Lepisosteus oculatus: one gene and its partner. The protein of the gene in region 1 purifies or fractionates together with the protein of each later gene. This does not show direct contact. Links are inferred from orthologs where the notes say so. Each region holds a gene or a part of one and is shown on either strand. Other genes may lie near its edges.

Region 1 (9,069 bases):
GCTAAGCAACAGTATATAAGCACATACAAGCATAAGAAAGTCACTAAAAGTCATGTCACAAAATAAGAATTGTGACGTGTTACACACTGAAAAGAGAAAAGGGGTGTCTTGTTGTTTATTGATTGCTTACTTTACCAAAAGTGCATATTCCTTGTGTTAATTTCTATACAATATTTATTTGTTTTAATAATGTAAATGATTAGACCATGCAAACAAAATGAATGCTTTGTGCAATAAACTGTAATTTGTGAAAATGTTAACAGACATGATTTCTATTAACAATAATGTGTTTATTGTGCAGATAGATTCAAAGTAATTCTACCAAGGAAGACATCATAATTTACCTACAGATACTGTCAAAATACTTTATATATCTCACTAAGCACTTGGCTTACTGAGCTGTACAGAGAAATAATGCAATATTAATTATTGATGTGTGAAATGGACTGTTTATTTTTAAAACAACTCTTACAAGTAGTGCATGTTAAATTTTATATCTATGGCTTTAAAACATTTTAAAGTATAACTATCGTATTTGCATATTGATATTAATGAAATTACATGCTAGATTTCTTTCTTTTTCCTGATTTTTTCATCAAAAATTGCAATTGGTTTTAACAATCATCAAGAATACCCTGAATATGATCAAGAACATCACAGTTACGGTTGATGCACATTCAGAATAAAGTCCTAGTTATCATTTACATATTCCAAGTTACAAAATCTTCAAGGGGAATGTAAAAGAACCAATAGCACAAAATGTATAGATGTTTTAAAACTATGGAAATCCTTCCTGGCACATTTCCAGTAAAAAGAGTTCGGGAGCACCACACTGGAAATTCAACATTTTGGCTGAAATTAATTTCTTAAACCTAACTAGAAATAGTTGTAAAGAATAAAATAAGACTTCCTGACACATCTTAAACAGGTCTGCTTACGTTCTTTTTACTTCCTCTTGATTCCACACACCATTACTTAAATGTTAAGCTAGGTCCCCCTTCCCCTTAAACAGAAATATACGATAAGAGCAGATAATAAAATCCAGACTATAACACCTCTGTCTTTAAGTATTGCGGTTTCTTTTGGGTTGTCATGCTGGATGAGAGCACTTGTGAGTGGATGTTGTTTCTCATGCAGAGCGACACGAACAAGAACGACCCTCCAAGAACAAGAAACAGCCCAGAGAACCATCCTGCAAAAAGAGCCTCCCCAAACTCCCACCGGGGAACGATTTCAGGAACGTTGTCATCCCAGAATTCCACCACAGTCACATAAGCCACCAAGGAGATGGGATAAAGTGTAGTGATCCCCGAAATCCAGGACAGCACCCCTCCAAGGATGAGGAGCTTCTTCTTGACGTGCTCTTTGCCCTCTCCCAGATTTATGCCCTCCAGTCCAAAAAAGGCCACAGAGACACTCAGGAGCCCTGTTCCCATGGAAAAGATCATCAAGACCCTGGAAGCTATGACACCTGAGGGCAGAGACAGAAAGGAGTCAAAGGCTTTGCACTGCAGACCCACTTCGTCTTGGAAAATGCAGGTGTGCCACAGCCCCTCGTACCAGTTCTCCATTTCATTGAGCTCCGCGTTGAGGGTTTTCCAAAGAGGCAGAAAAGTGACCACACAGGTTATGACAAAGCCCACGAAGGAGACAAAAAAAGCCATCCTCTCCACTAGTTTGGAAGTCAACAACACCATTGTCTATCAGTTCAGCTCCAGTCTAGAGAACAGCTTGTGAGCTGCAGCAAGCACAGGCTCTGCAGTGGTAATGACCTGGTAGGGCTCCTAATCAAGTACCTTATAAATGCACCTTATAAATGCTGGGTAATCCCTAAGCTTGAGCATAACAACAGACATACTGTTTTGTAAAAGCGATAAATATCATTATAGGGAACAATGAGCACTGTTTTAGATGAAACCAGATATGTCCAAGAGAGAACGGACGGCAGTGCACACACAAGATGTTTTCAAGGCAAAGGAAACATGATCAAGTAAAGAATGGGGAAACTCAAAGAAAGTTGTGGGGAACGAATTGGTCTAAAACGTCAACATATAGGCTGTAAGTCATTTCATGTAGATCTTGTGTTATGAACTAATACTCATTAAAAAGGTTTAATTAGTGAATTAAATGGTATAATGTGTTTTACAGATTATACTGATAGCTACTGCTGAAGGTTCAGATTACAAGCCTTTCTATTAAACAAAAAACTAACGTCTCAGCTGTCCTCTGGATTAATGGTAAAACCTGATACAAAAACTGTGACGCCAAGTACTCCTGATATTTTTTATATTGTAGTATGCTATTACAGTATGACCTGTAATGTCTCCATTCAGACCACACATTTGCTTTTCGAGCCAAAACTTAGTGCATAATTTTTTGAGGCAAGCTTCCGAAATCAGATACTTTTAAGGATAACTATATCGGCTGCTCATACAATGAAGATTTATTGTACTCATACTATTATTTCGTTCTTCATAATGTCTTCGATTCCCCTCCCTCCCTTCAAAAGAGCGTAATTCTAGGTTTCAATCTTAAACAGCTGGTAAAACACTGTATAGTCTGCCACAATAATAGTCTGTTATCTATGTTCATTGAAACGGTTATACAGGGAAAACGTTGTCTCTAGCTCCCTCGTATGGCTTTTGGGAGTTTCATTTTTGCCCTTTTTTGCAACTATTTAACTTGTGTTTAATTGCTGTTTCTCTTAGTATTAGATTTTCTTGAGACAGACTTTGGGGTGGAACTGGATAATTAATTTCCAAAGGCTAGATGTCTAGATGTCTCCTGAATTTTATCAGATTTGTTGAGAGTACTTCTTCCCATTCTTCTTAAAACAATTAGATGAGTTCATCCATTTTTTGTTACATTTTCAAGGTTATTACTAAAATTATAATAAGGCATATTACTTTAGCCTTGTACTTAAATGGCAAATTTTCAACTGAGGTTATTTAGTGTAACTTTATCTCACTATGATATATGAGGAAACTGAAGCTGCTGAAAGGCACTGACTAGTTTCTGCTCAGAAAGGTCAAAGATTAATCTAGTCGTCTATCTTATTTTAAGCTCTATGATCACTCAGCATGAGGACCATTTTCTCTTAAAATACTTGTTTGCAGATATAAGATCACTTAAGATACGATTACTTTATTGGCCATATGCAATTTCTTGTATTAGGAATTTGTCTTTCCGCATACCCCAACTTGCTCTCCATGAGACACACAGACAGAGAGAGAAGCTTGGGGTCAGGGCGCAGGGTCAGCCATTTATACAGCGCCTGTCAGGTGTGCCAAGGGAAAAGGGTAGGAAAATTGACCCTGTGCGGAGGCAGAGAGAGAAAAAACTGGATTCCTTAGGCGAACGTAATCCAAATCGGGAGGCTAGAGCGAGGACAGAGATCAGGAGCAAGGGGTCAGAAATCCAGGTGATCACAAGAACAACGAGAGGTCGGACTAAGTTGCGAATAGGACGTGTAGCTTTGGCTGAGGAAACCTCAATAGTGAGAGAGGACAAGTTGCAGAGTGGGAGTTTAAGTAGCCAAAGATGAGCGAAGTTGATTAGTAATCGGATGCCCGTGGGAATGCAACGATGTCTGTGTGCGGTTTGTGACAGCACCCCTGAAGCACTTGGGGTTAAAGGCCTCGCTCAGGGGCCCAACGGAGTAGGATTCCTCTACTGGCCGTGGGATTCGAACCAGCAACCTTCCAGCCACAAGCACAGATCCTTAGCCACAGAACCACCGCTTTAATATGTTGGTGATTCAGAGCTTGTTTCCAAAGTCATACTTAATCTTGCACTTTGGGATTTGCTATGAAGTGAAGAAGTTGGTAAGGGGTCTGAGACATAAAAGGTCTAGAGGTCTTGCAGATTGTCATTGTTTATAAAAGGTGTCGGTTTGTTGTTGACTACTGTTCTGCATACTGAGCACATCTTCCTAGCACTTTGACATGCAAACCTATGTACAGAGCGTTCATGATGGCCATGATGGCATCTTATTGTCTAGCCTAATCATGCATTAATGTGCAGATTGCCTAGTTTGGTAATGTGCTTCTAGGCTGTTCTCCAAAATTAGCTTGGCAGTCCTGTGTGTCCAAGCATTCTCCTCTCAAAGATCTCATTCTGCATCATTTCGCATTGCATTGACCACACAACTGACCCTGGGAGTAAGGTTGACCTAATAGCACAACATTTTATCAATGTCAGTTAAGACCAACCGCTCTGCCCCTCCATCATTCAAACACGATTTGAGCATCCTTATTTTCATTCATTATTATCAAGTTTTGGTTTGGTTCTTTTTGGTAAATATACTTACTTAATTTTTTTTTTTGGAAAACTATCTTGACATGATCTGCTTAAGTTTTTTATCTCTCCTACCACTGATATTCCCGTGTGAGTGCCTCGTTTCATCCTTGCACACTGTGGTGAGGGGAGTGCTTCCCGGGTTAGACAGCACTAATCTAATTATGCATGTGCAGAACTAGATCGCCTATACTCTTTGAACTCAGGATAAAGATAATGCTGTGCTTCACTCACAAGTTTCTGAGGTTTTCTCTGTGGGAATTACGCTCCTGTCACACTGATCCATGCATGACAAGAAAAAAGCAAAAGCATGACAGCAAAAAACAGATCGGTAACACTATAAACATATTTGCAAAAAAAAATGTATTTACCATCCTGAATAACAAAACAACCATGCGGTGTCAATGCTTTAGAATAGGCAAAAAAGTGTAAGGGGATTGTTCATATCTAAATGGTGGTTTCACATTTTTTTCATTTTTTTTCTTTTGAGTAATTGATTTGCTCTGCCTGTTTATACCGTCTGTGCAATAAGAGCGTCCTTATCTTATAGCGGGAATAAGTACTTGTAACAAAATTATGACTATTACAAGAGGCTCATTATCTTTCCTGTCAATCGTCAGTAACAGTGACTGATACTGGAAGAGAGTTGATTCGTAAAAGATGACTCTTAAAATGACTCTACAGCCTTCATCTGTTCGCTATCTATTTGCCTTCAATGCAAATAGCAATTCTTCAGAGAAACAAATAATTAAGTCTAAATTTAATTTTAAACACATCACACTGAAAATGGTGGATACGTTTTAGCTTCAGCTGTTTTTCTGAAAAAAAAAACAGTATTTTACAGATGGGAGTTGTTTTACTTTTCTACGTATCAACTAGATTTAATGTTTATGTATTCAGCGTTCGATCATTAAACGAAAGCAACCTAATACATTAAGCTCTTCAAGTAGCATCTTCCCTGCAAAAGTAACACGTAAGATGCTACTTGAAGTTTATCAATGACAATTACATGCCTTCTCCGAATTCGACTTGCTCCCAGTGTGCATTGGACTTTGCCAGCTAACCGAATTGATTTCTGGGGTTTGTTGTCGTTTATTGTTTAGTCTACGCATCAATTGCAAATGGAACTTGAGACACATAAACTACAATACCCAGGGATCTCTTTTTCGCAAGAGGTGTGGCGTGGTAGTGTAATGGCTGTTTATTTGGTGTGTGTTGCGTGTTTTTCTTTTCTGCTACATTTGTAACGTTTTTTCCAGTAAAATAATGTAGCGTTTGCTACATTGTTCCGAAGGACTTGCTTCGTTTTTGTATTTACTTTTACCAGTCAAACAAGTTACATTCGTCTTGATTTTCTACTTAAAGTCAGCTTTAATTTTTTTTTTTTGCTTTTTGGTGCAGTGGTGCATCGCAGAAACCACTGTGTCTTGTAGACGTGGTCCCTAAAACTACGTTTATGAAGGGACCTTCGCTAGCACGACAGTAAATCCGTTTTTAATACTGGGGTTTCATTGACTGACCGTGTCGTGTTATGCGGCGGTTGAATGTCATGGTTTCCGGGAACAATGTCTTGCAAGTCTAAAGTCGCCCCGAGTGTTGATTTTGACCACAGCTGCTCGGACAGTGTCGAATACCTGACCCTGAACTTTGGGCCGATTGAGACCGTCCATCGCTGGAGGAGACTCCCACCCTGTGATGAGTTTGTGGGTGCTAGGTAAAACAAAATACAACTTTCTGTAAATCCTGTAGGTGCAGATCTTATTAAATGTCTAACGGTGCGGTTGCACTCTCACGCAGACCTCACAGAGATATGTTCGTAAAAAAAAATGTTTTTTTTAAGTATGGAGATTTGCTTTTGAACTGCAAAACCGTCATGTGCATGTGATTTCCGAAAGCTTCGCGAGTCTTGTTTTACACGGATTTTGATATGTGCATTATGATGTCAGTGGTGTATTTGAACGTACAGTGCTGTAAGATTTTTAAATTATATTCAGAGCTCATATCAGTTTTCTTTACTACATTTTACTGCAATGCTGCACCGCGTCTTAACTGAGTACAGTACCGTGTAATCATTCCGGGCTTTCGCTTCTGAATTTTGACAGGCGCAGTAAGCACACAGTTGTGGCCTACAAGGATGCAATTTACGTGTTCGGAGGAGACAATGGGTGGGTGATATTTAATGTGTCGTAATTTTAGCATGCGACTTGGGTGAAAGCAAGTATGAACATTTGTTTCGTTCCCAACAGAAAGAACATGCTGAATGATCTGTTGCGGTTTGATGTCAAGGACTGCTCCTGGTGCAGGTAATCCCTGCTTCTCCATTCCAGGAGAATGCGTTTATACACCGTTTATGTCAACAGATAACTTTTTTTCCCCCCTCCACGATGAACTTTATGACCCATTTTATTTTAAAGTGGCTTTTGGGTCTGCATCTTGGTTTGGTCATTTGTTTTTCTTCTTCTTGCCAGGGCTTTTACGACTGGTTCACCCCCTGCTCCCAGATATCACCATTCAGCTGTAGTACATGGAAGCAGCATGTTTGTTTTTGGTGAGGCAGCTTACCCCTCTATCACAGTTTATATGTTCATGATGCAGTATTGACGAGGCATAATTAAGGCAAAATGTGTTTCATGGGGGATTTAGTGGCACAGTGAGATCAGTTATGGACCTGGGAGGGCTGTCTGCATGATGTTTGTCTGTTCTGTCCCATGTTTGTGTGGGTTTCCTTCCACAATCCAGCAACATACTGGTAGGCTAATTGGCTTCTGAGGAAACTGGCCCCAAATGCGAGAGTCTTTCTGTCCTGCGATGTCTGTGTCCAGGGTGTCCCCTGCCTTGCTCCTGCTTGCCAGCATTATTGGAAGCAGTTAGAAGATGGATATTTGTTTCATTATTATGGTTGTTAAACAAAAAGCGTTTCCATGTCACACGGCTGTCTTATTAATAAACGTATTTGCCTTTTCTTCTGGTGCTGGTGATGCGTAACCGTACGGTCTCAAATTTCCAGGTGGCTACACTGGGGACATCTACTCCAACTCCAACCTGAAGAATAAAAATGATCTTTTTGAGTACAAGTTTGCTACAGGCCAGTGGACGGAATGGAAGGTAGAGGGAAGGTACAGTAGTACATCAGTTCAAAACTGTTATAAATGGAGCTCAAAATGAGCGTTTGGGAGGGAAGACAACATCGAAGGTCTGTCAACCTCAGCTGTACATCATTTGTAGTCAAACCTGACATCATTTTCTTTCATAAAGACTATAACTATTAGATGTAACCTGTTACTCTGCTTTGCAAACGTTTTTACATCCCCTCTCCACTGCATCTCCACCTGTGTTGCTGCCCCTTGGGGCCCCACTCCTCACTCTGCAAGGGGTTCCAGCTTCCTTGTGGCCAGGAGGTCAGCAAGCCAGGTTAAGCCGAATTGTGATGAAGACACTCTGGAGATGTTTCACACACTTAATTCCTGGGTGTTGTTGTTCCTCGTGAATGTATTTTCCGTGCAGTGTTATCAATCATTGTTCTGTTGATGTGTGTTCCCTCAAAGCCAGCTTTTTTTCTTTACATCAGCATAGCATTAAGGCATTCAGAGTTAGATACAAGAATGAAGTAATTGTTACCTTTAATGAGGCATGTAATTCTTGGCCAGATCAAAAAATCATCTTCATAAGAGAGAAAAACAATCGGGTTTTCATACATTGATTTAAGAAAGTAAACTAGTCATGCATTTTTATTTTGCCTTGCATAGAAGCTGAAGAGAGCATAATTCTGTTGTGTTTCTGAAACAGTATCACCTCTCTGGTTTCCTTTCTGCAGGTTGCCTGTTGCCAGATCAGCTCACGGAGCAACAGTGTACAGTGATAAACTCTGGATTTTTGCTGGGTATGATGGTAATGCAAGGTAAATAATTTTCATCTTGTCTTAGACCATTCGCGATAATTCTGTTTATAATATCTTTGTTTTTTTAAGGCATACACTAATTTATTTCTTGTAATACTCCAGGCTAAGTGACATGTGGACGATCAGCCTTCAGGACCGTGAGCAAGCATGCTGGGAAGAGGTTAGTTTGACATAAAGTGCTATTTTTTGTCCAATAATGTGTACAAAAATAAAGTGAAAGTGTAGATTTTGTTCATTACGGTAAAATGCCAGCGATTTAAGAGGAAACAATAAAACTGTTCATTCTATTGACTCTCTTGGCTCCGTTAAAGATTTTGTAAACTTTTTTTGTTATCCCTTTCTTAAATAGATGTGCAAAAGTGCTCTTTTAATTAGTTCAAGCAATTCCTTGTTTGTCTGGAGGAAAAATAATTCTGAAGCTTTTCTTCACATGGATCCAAGGGACAGTCCTGTTGTCAAAGTGTTTTAAGTCACTGTCATTTTTGTCCTCTGCCAGTCAGTGCACAGGACTTTGTTCTTGTCTGCTGTTGATTTATGACTTGCATATGCAGCAAAAGGGCCCAGACTTGCTCTTTCTTGAAATGTCTTGCATAAACAGGTATTCTGTGAAAATTCTAAAAAATTCTTGTTTTTCCAGATTGAGCAGAGTGGAGAGATTCCCCCCTCATGCTGCAACTTTCCTGTGGCGGTGTGCCGGGACAAGATGTTCGTTTTCTCTGGTCAGAGTGGAGCGAAGATCACTAACAACCTGTTTCAGTTTGAATTCAAGGACAAAGTGTAAGTTAGAAATCCTCAATAAGCATAAGTGCTGGCCTTAAAGAAGCTACCTCAATATCTTTTAACATTCAGTGTTCATAATTCATTCTTTTCATTGA
Region 2 (9,111 bases), on another chromosome or scaffold:
CGTGTTGCCATGGAGACGCTGATCCTCAGTGCAGGAATCTGCAGCTACAGAGAGAGAGGAGCAGGAGCAGGAGCAGGGAGAGAGGAGCAGGAGCAGGGAGAGAGAGAGGAAAGAATGAGAATTAGATAGTTGAGGAAAAGTGTGTTTTGATGCTGTCTCTCCTGTCCTCGCAGTGTGTCAGTGTGTTATAACGCTGTCTCTCCTGTCCTCGCAGTGTGTCAGTGTGTTATAACGCTGTCTCTCCTGTCTTTCCAGTGTGTCAGTCGGGGGGAATTACTGGTGTCTCTCTCCTATCAGCCGGTCACCCACAGGCTGAGTGTGGTGGTGCTGAAGGCCAAACACCTGCCGAAGATGGATATCACCGGTCTGTCTGGCAGTGAGTATCGCCTGAGCCGAGCCCCAGATCTACACACAGCCTGATCTCACTGAGCTTCACTCCACCGTACTGTGCTTTTACCCTGATCTCACCATGAAGTTTTTGAACAATTCTCACTCTCTCCTTCCTCTCCCTGTTTCTCCGTCACTCTCTCCCCCCTCTCTCTCTCTCTCTCTGTCCCCCCTCTCCGCCCAGACCCCTACGTCAAGGTCAATGTCTTCTACGGCCGCAAGCGCATCGCCAAGAAGAAGACTCACGTCAAGAAGTGCACGCTCAACCCCGTCTTCAACGAGTCCTTCATCTACGACATCCCGGCCGAGCTGCTGCCGGACATCTCCCTGGAGTTCCTGGTCATCGACTTCGACCGCACCACCAAGAACGAGGTGGTGGGCCGCGTGGTGCTGGGGGCACACAGCCCCTGCCCCTCTGGCGCCACCCACTGGCGGGAGGTCTACGACAACCCCCGGCGGCAGGTCGCCAAGTGGCACAGCCTCAGCGAGTACTAGGGGCCCCAGGGATGGTGGGGGGGCGGGGGGGGGGGGGGGGGGGTGAGTGGGGGAAGGGAGGTCGAGGGAAGGACAGAAAGAGGTGCGCCCTCTGGTGGCCGAAAGCAGCAACTACAACGACGATAACCAAGATGGCTGCCTGTTTCCTTGCCCAGAGCCTGAGGCCCTTGACTTGTACAGCGAGCAGCTGGCTAAGAGGAGAAACAGAGATGCGAATAGGAATTCAACCGCAGGTCTGGGGAGCGGGAGGGAGCCCGCCAAAATTCTGAAACCACAACAGGGTGGGAGGGAAAAACTGAAAGTTCACCGAGGAAAAGGCAAACGCGCTGGAGGGGGGCGTCTCCAACCCTGGACTGGCACACCTCGGAACCGCCGATCGGCTGCTCTTCCCCAAGCAGGACGAGAGCGCCCCCCTGCGCCCCAGCTCGGACCCCCTCCTCGCCCCGCTCCCTTCTCGGGTTTACTGCATGCCTGAGCAGAGCCCGAGTCACAGACTGCACAGCGAGAGGGAAGGAGGAGCACCCGGAGGACGGACGGACCCCCCAGGGCACCAGGGGGGAGGAGGGGGGTTCAGGGGGCGTGGGGGGGTGAGGTGTATATACGGATTGGGAACCCTGACCCAGCTTGGTTTTTTTGTAAACGTTCTGCATCACCCCTCCCCTCCGCCCACCCCACCTATCAGCCACTAGCTCCTTTAAATCAGGAGGGGGGTCCCCCCTCGCGCAGGGTCGGGGTCACAGTCCAGCAGGGCCCTTGAGGGGTCTCACTCACCCATCAACAGGACAGGAAGCTGCTCTGACAGCGGGTCAGGAAACTCCAGATGAGGGCCGGATCTCTTCGGTGGTTCCCCAGCTGCTGGTGAAGTAGAACTAGCACCCCCCTGTTGGACTGGGGCCCCTGGGGGACCCTAGTTAGGTTAGGGCCCCCCGATTCAGAGGTTAGTTCTACACTATGTGCTCTTTTTTTTAAAGAAATAATTTGGAGTGCTATATACAGTTGTCCGTTTGCATTATACATTAACCAGAGAGATTTACAGGATAGTTAGAAATAACAGTGCATGTGTCCGTGAGGGAATCTTTGACCTATAGGTGTCCCCAGCTTGGTCTTCACACCTTTGCAAATATTGAGCCATAAGTGATGCTGCCGAGTGGAGGCAGACAGCAGTGCCGTTTCTCCAGAAACACAGACACAGGCACTGTGTCGGGGTGGGAATATTACTGCACTGTCACAATGTCACAGAGCTGTTTTTGTTTAAAATAATATATATATAGGAAATTATTTGCAAAGAGATAATGTCCGTCTTGTTGTTCACCAATGTTAAAGTTACTGTACGTTAAATGTTCCTGTTGTCATGCAAAGAAGAATTTTGGCAGAGGAGAGTCTGTCTGCTTGAGCAGTTAAAGAGCCGGGTCACACTGTAACCCTACAGTCCAGAGATCACTGGTCCAGTCTGGGTCACACTGTAACCCTACAGTCCAGAGATCACTGATCCAGTCTGGGTCACACTGTAACCCTACAGTCCAGAGATCACTGGTCCAGTCTGGGCCGGGTCACACTGTAACCCTACAGTCCAGAGATCACTGGTCCAGTCTGGGTCACACTGTTACCCTACAGTACAGAGATCACTGGTCCAGTCTGGGCCGGGTAACACTGTAACCCTACAGTCCAGAGATCACTGGTCCAGTCTGGGTCACACTGTAACCCTACAGTCCAGAGATCACTGGTCCAGTCTGGGCCAGGTCACACTGTAACCCCACAGTCCAGAGATCACTGGTCCAGTCTGGGCCGGGTCACACTGTAACCCTACAGTCCAGAGGTCACTGGTCCAGTCTGGGCCAGGTCACACTGTAACCCTACAGTCCAGAGGTCACCGGTCCAGTCTGGACGAGTGAGAGAGCCCTGTGTACGTGGGCATTTCTTTCCTCTCCAGAGAGTCCAGCGTGCTCTGGGAAGGCAGTAGAGGTGTTTGTGCTGCCCTTCAGTCATTTACAGTGCATCGATTTAAAGCGATATCCGTTTACAAGGGGGTCAGACGCTGGGGGTTGGGGGGTAGAGTTGTTTGTACTGCCCTCTTGAAAAGCTGGGCAAGTTGTACATACTGTAATATAGGAGGCTGAAACCCAGCTACTGTTACCAAAAAAATGGTCTGTAATGCCAGAACTGCGTCCCAATGAAGAAGATACAGATCCTCTGTCTCCTAGGTCCAGTGTATATAGAAAAAGAACATTCCTTTCTAATGATCACAGTGATGCCGTCATTCCAATTAAAGTTGGCCTGTAGGGGGCGTGCTCTGGTCGGCAGGCGGGATTCGGGCTTGAGGCAGGCCAGCACCGGTTCTGTCTGGGGCTGTCGGAACGTTTCAGGGTTCCAGGGAATCCGAGGGCACGGCACTGGCACACCCCGAAGAGCAGGGTCACCTCGGCGCGTCTTTTCTCCCTCACAAGAGCACTCTGGTGTATCGGCGCACTCAGACTCTCCTCGGGGTTCAGCTCAGAGAGAGGAGGGCGGTAGGCAAGAGCGCCGTCCCCCATCGCCTCGTTCTTTTAAAATGCAGAATCGCTAGTTGCTGATCTATATCCCCCCCCGATTTGGGAAGCGCCGTGTCTCAGCTCGCAGCTACGAACCCTGTGTCTGCACACGGGAGAGAGTGAAGAAGTGCAGGCAGGCACCTCCCACCCACCTGCCCCCCAGCCAATCGTCTTTTAACACGTCCCAGGCAGTACCGCCCCCCAGTCAAGGTGCCAGCTCTGATTGGAGGACAGACATGTCCTTCACTGACAGCACTTGCTTGCAAATTCCCACCAGGCCACAGGGGGCACTGTGTCACCAAGAGGCTGACTGATCTCTCCCTGCCCTCATTCATTCCGCTACGTGGGGAATTCTGGCCTGGGGCTCCTCCCATCGCCGGCATTACCCTCAGAGCTTTCTTCCACAAGATATCCATTCAGGAAGATATCAGCCGCCACCACCCATCACGCTCAAACCCCTGTCCAGCTCCAGCTGAGTGGGCTCTCTCTTTCGTTTCCTGTGGGATGCAGAGAGCCCACACTTTCCCCTTCAACTCCCTTTCATTCCTGTTAGGAAGGGGGAAAAGAGGAGGAGATCGGCTCCCAGGAACGGGGGTGGGGGGCGTTTTCATGTTTCACTTTCTTATCTCTTGTTTGGGAGGGGGGACAGGAGGCCCGTCCCCCCCACCCCACCCCACCCCTCGGGAAACGTCACTCCCGTCTGCTCGCTTGTACAGCTGAACAAACTGAAACACAGAACTGGGAAAACTGGAGAACGGAAAATGACTTAAATAACTCCATATCAATGATAATTCCAAGTAAATAACTTCTATGTGGAAATAAATGATAAAAACGTAACCTGAACTGTGTTTAAACTTGCATAATGCCATAAAGTCTATGCTGATATATTACACTAATGCTAACTGTATGTTGAATTTGTTAAAACACATTGTGCAAATAAAGACTGATACACCCAGAGCCCTGCAGTGTCACTGCTTTCTCCTTGACGAGCCCAGATGTGCGTCCTGCCCTGCAAACAGCTGGAGCTGTCCCTAACCCTAACGCCCACAATACTTAGTGACACACTAATGCCTCAATATTAAGTAACATGCTGACACCCCAATATTTAGTGACACGTTAACCCCCCCTTTAGACTAAGGTGAAGGGTGACCATCTTCCCTCTCAGAAGACCTGCTCGTCAGCACTGTGACTCCTCCTCTCTCTCAGCACCTGCATTTAAAACCGACGACAGGAGGCACTTTACCCAGAGGGTGGTGAGGGTGGCACCAGCTGCCCGGCCATGGTGTTGAAGCCGATACCCCAGATCCTTCGAGACACAGCCGGATGACATCCTGGGATTAATGAACTACTGAGCAACCAAACTGGCCAAGTGGCTCCCCTAGGCTGTAACCTTTCTGATGTTCCAGGGACAAGCACACAGGCAGGTAGACAGACAGACAAGCCTGTATTGACAGACTGAGATAAACACAGAGACCGATAGATAAGGTTGTAATAACAGGCTGAGACTGAGAAACAAACAGGAATGGAGAGACAGACAGATAGACAAGCATGGATTGACAGAGTTACACAGATAAACACAGACAGATAGACAAGCATGGATCGTCAGGCTGAGACAGACACACACAGACACACAGCTCCCCCAGTTTGGAAACCCCTCCCACGCCCGCTCTCCTGCAAACGACAGACACCAAGCGGCTCCCCAGCCGGGCGAGCCCCGGAGCCGCCGATGACGGATTTCGAGTCAGCCCCGATCTGGGGCCTCCCTTTCCGGGGTTGCAGAACCGGGCGGGCGCTAAGACCCGGAACATGCTCTGCCCATCTCTCTCTCTGTGTGTTTACTGCTTGGGGCTCCCTGTGCCTGGAGTGTCGCGGTCGACTTGCTTTTCTGGAAACACGACAGTAATTACCAATTAAGAAACAGCTCACAGAGATCAGGAGCATGAGGCAGAGGGATCAGTAGTCCGGGTAAGAGTTTACGGATTTGGCATGCACACGTTTTTAAAAGAAACCTTGCTGTAGCCCGGGCTACAAGAAAGTTTCACTGAACCTCCCTTCTCACAGTTGACGCGGGAGAGAGCTGCGACAAACTTCGCGCATCTGAACAACCTACATGTTTTTGTAGGGTAGATCTTAACATCTTTGTATTGCGATTAATGTGCCATCAGAGAACGGTAAACGACCGCGGTTACGCGTTTTTTTTTAATGTTCTTGTAAACTGTTGGTAGTTCCTCGATGAAGTTTTCACAGTTCTCCTTAAAAGGTTAGATTTGTCTTTGAAACTAAAAAAAAACCAACTCATCGGTTTCTGTCAGTTGACGTCAAGAGTAACCGATACGAAGTGGTATTGTGCCCAATATCTTATAACAAAATGGGATCTTTAAATATACAGCTAAACACGAAATAGTTCCGAGAACGTGCGAACACGCAATGACGTGTCGTATTTAAACCATCCCCTTTTCTAAACAAAAAAAACCGTCTGTAAGTAATTTAAATCGTAAGTTTTCAATACAGTTCACCAAAACACCTCGGATGTTTTCAATAATTAAACAGTTTGCTGAAAATAAATGTGGTTTCTCGTTGTTTTGTAAAACATACACGGATTGTCTTTGAATTTAAAGGTATTTTTCTGGCTTTACTACACTCGGCGTTTTTCTTTAGTGTTGTGAGAACAGAAACCGCTTTTCAACTTCGAAAATAACTGTGGTAACTCGCTTCTGTGCAGCCATTCTGTCGACCCTTTACTGTTGTTCAAATGTATTTTAACAGTGCGGGTGAGACCGGTTATTTTCGTCAGCTCGAAATAAACTGTACATATTTATAGTTTAGCGTGAAAAGACAAAAGGAAGTAAAACTGCCAATTCCACATCATGAGCACATTTGTTAAATCGTGTGACTAATCTATAAATGATGTATGAAGGCCTAACGCTTGTCCCAAGCCTCGGGAATTTCCTAGGTCTAAAGTCCGAAGCGTGGTTCTTTAGCGATGGTAAAATTGGAGAACATCCGCCGGGCGAAGGGAGCATTCCAGTTTTTCCTCCCCTCACCCAGAACGTAACATAACACAGACAACTGCTGTTAAATTTAAAATCAGCAACTAAATGACACGGAACCTGATTAATTAGTTATGGTAAAGACGGTACGGTAGATGCATTTTTTATTGGAACAGGCTTGTGAGGAATCATAAAGGAGAGACGTAATACCAAAGTGACGCAGTATGTAAATCTTTCGCCTTATGCTTTATAAGCAAATCAGGCAGAGTACATTCAGGAACATGGTTACCTGCTTCTCACAGGGTACCTGTCGGACAGGTGTTGCATTAGCCAGTTACCAGAGGAAGCTTTCAGCTCATCTGCTTCTGCTCCATCTGCTTGGGTGCTCAGTAGCAAATCGGTCCCAAGATTTCGTCCGGCTGTTCCTTGAACAAAGCCTTGATATGGGCTGTGACAACATGGCTGAACAGCCTGTTCCAGACCCCCGCTGCTCTTTGAGTACAGTAGTACCTCCCGTCCTGATTAGAGGGGACCTCGTCCAGCTGTTCCTTGAACAAAGCCTTGATATGGGCTGTGACAACATGGCTGAACAGCCTGTTCCAGACCCCCGCTGCTCTTTGAGTACAGTAGTACCTCCCGTCCTGATTAGAGGGGACCTCGTCCAGCTGTTCCTTGAACAAAGCCTTGATATGGGCTGTGACAACATGGCTGAACAGCCTGTTCCAGACCCCCGCTACTCTTTGAGTACAGTAGTACCTCCCGTCCTGATTAGAGGGGACCTCGTCCAGCTGTTCCTTGGACAAAGCCTGGGTTCTGCCTGGGCAGCCTGTTCCAGAGCTCACTTGCTGTATTCTTCTCTAATGAATTCTATGGTAGAGGCTGTGGGTGTAAGCTTTTCCCAAGTCCAACAGCGGCGCTGGGAAGCGTTGTACGGTTTCTTCATGGCCGATCTGATGCCAGCACTCTGTGACCTCTAATAGCAAGATCCAGGAATGGGGAAGTTTTGTCAAACGCGTGATCGTGTGTGCTTGCACGAGGCACACGCGTGTGTCCGTCTGTGTGTGTCCGCACTGTCCCGTCATGCGCTGCCCACGACACCGTGCACGCACACACCCCTCGCTGGCCGCTGCGAGGTCACATGCCCTCCCCCCCCGTGTGCGTGCTGCTGCTAAAATTAAACACTTCCTCCTCCGGGCAGGGCGGCGAGTGGGGCTTGTGGTTCTGACACATCTGCTGGTGTTGAGTGGTGGGCCTTCTGAGTCAGCGCTGTCCTCGCTGACGGGGAGAGGGCAGAAAGCCGACGGGGGTCGTCAGTAATTATAATACTTCCTTACTCTTATCTAGTGCTTTTCTGATTGCTCCACTCCAAGCGCTTTACAGGTAATGGGGTCCCCTCCACCACCACCAGTGTGTGGCCCCACCTGGATGATGCACCAGTACACTCCACACACAGCAGCTCTCAGTGGGGAGGAGAGCAGAGTGATGGAGCCAGTTCAGAGAGGGGGATTAGTAGGAGGCCATGACTGGTAAGGGGCAGAGGAAAATTTGGCCAAGACACCAGGATAACATCGCTACTCTTTTCGAGAAACACCCTGGGATTTTTAATAACCACAGAGAGTCTGGACCACTGTTTTATGGTTCTTATCAGAAGAACAGCACCTTTATTACAGTATAGTGTCCCCGTCACTGTACTGGGGCATTAGGACCCACACAGACTGCAGGTTGAGCGCCTCCTACTGGTCCCACTAACACCTCTTCCAGCAGCAACCTCAGTTTTCCCAGGAGTCTCCCCTCCAGAGATGGATGCTGAGCGTCAGTGGGCTGCCAGCTGGGAGTTGCAGGGTGATATGGCTGCTAGTTGGCTCATCAGCGAACACACATCGCCTGTGGCAGGAGCGGTGTTTGTTTGTGGCTGCTCCTTTTTAGAGCTCGGTGTTGTGCAACAGTTGACGTCGCCTCTGCTCGCGCTGCGCCCATCTCTCTCCTCCCGCTGTCTCAGCCACCGTCTTCATCCCCCTCCCTGCTCCTCCTCTTCCTCCAATCTCTCTGTGCCCCCCTGAGTCTGGGGGTGGACCCTGCCTCTCTGGTCTGATTCCATTTTGTTCCCCCCCCCCAAACGTGGTGACCCCACACTGTGCCCAAGGAAGAGTTTGACACTCTTCCTTGTACCTGCACGCCATTTTTCAATGCGCCGCCCCCTGAAATCCATTCTGTGCTTTGACTCAATGTCCCGATTTTCTTCTGCTGCTTCCCCAGCTCCGAAACGTCTCCGAGTTGCCTCTTCCTGCTCGGTCCTGCGTGTATCGGGAGCCTCCCTGGTGTTCAGTGCTCACTGCCTCTCTCCAGGTGCAGGGTGTGCTCGCCGCTCCACGCTTGCCGGGCTGCGTTGCCGTGGGCCTGCTGCTGACCGGTGACGCTCCCTGTCCAGGCTGCAGGGGCGTGGCGATGGAGTCGGGCCGGACCCCGGGGGGCGCCGCGGGGGGGCCGTCCCGCGAGTACAAGCTGGTGATGCTGGGAGAGGGAGGCGTGGGTAAAAGTGGTGAGTACTGGGAGTGCTTTCTCTCCGTCTCTGTCCGGAGTGCTCTCGCACTCTCCCCTCACTCCGGCGCGTGAAGCCAGCAGAATTCTCTCATTCTCTTTTACTCTCCCTTACTCCCTGTCTGCCTCCACCTACTCCCTGTCTCTCTGTCTCTGTCTCTCTCTCTCTCCTG

Evidence for each region.
Region 2: the proteins of lztr1 (region 1) and rit1 purify together in Homo sapiens (affinity purification with mass spectrometry; 3 studies listed by BioGRID and IntAct, counting the BioPlex papers as one, with this or other methods). This does not show direct contact. The link is inferred for Lepisosteus oculatus from reciprocal best matches to the Homo sapiens genes LZTR1 and RIT1.

What each region holds. Positions count from the first base shown.
Region 1 is NC_090717.1:5,505,547-5,514,615, forward strand, and holds the start of lztr1 (leucine-zipper-like transcriptional regulator 1), read left to right. Parts: upstream 1-5,498; 5' UTR 5,499-5,840; coding exon 5,841-6,010; intron 6,011-6,398; coding exon 6,399-6,461; intron 6,462-6,542; coding exon 6,543-6,599; intron 6,600-6,764; coding exon 6,765-6,844; intron 6,845-7,303; coding exon 7,304-7,412; intron 7,413-8,110; coding exon 8,111-8,194; intron 8,195-8,296; coding exon 8,297-8,354; intron 8,355-8,831; coding exon 8,832-8,971; intron 8,972-9,069. Other genes in the region: cldn26 (putative claudin-24), read right to left, coding at 1,047-1,697. UniProt on the Homo sapiens protein: Substrate-specific adapter of a BCR (BTB-CUL3-RBX1) E3 ubiquitin-protein ligase complex that mediates ubiquitination of Ras (K-Ras/KRAS, N-Ras/NRAS and H-Ras/HRAS).
Region 2 is NC_090722.1:6,442,329-6,451,439, reverse strand, and holds the start of rit1 (GTP-binding protein Rit1), read left to right. Parts: upstream 1-5,238; 5' UTR 5,239-5,375; intron 5,376-8,746; 5' UTR 8,747-8,845; coding exon 8,846-8,939; intron 8,940-9,111. Other genes in the region: syt11a (synaptotagmin-11a), read left to right, coding at 256-376, 572-882.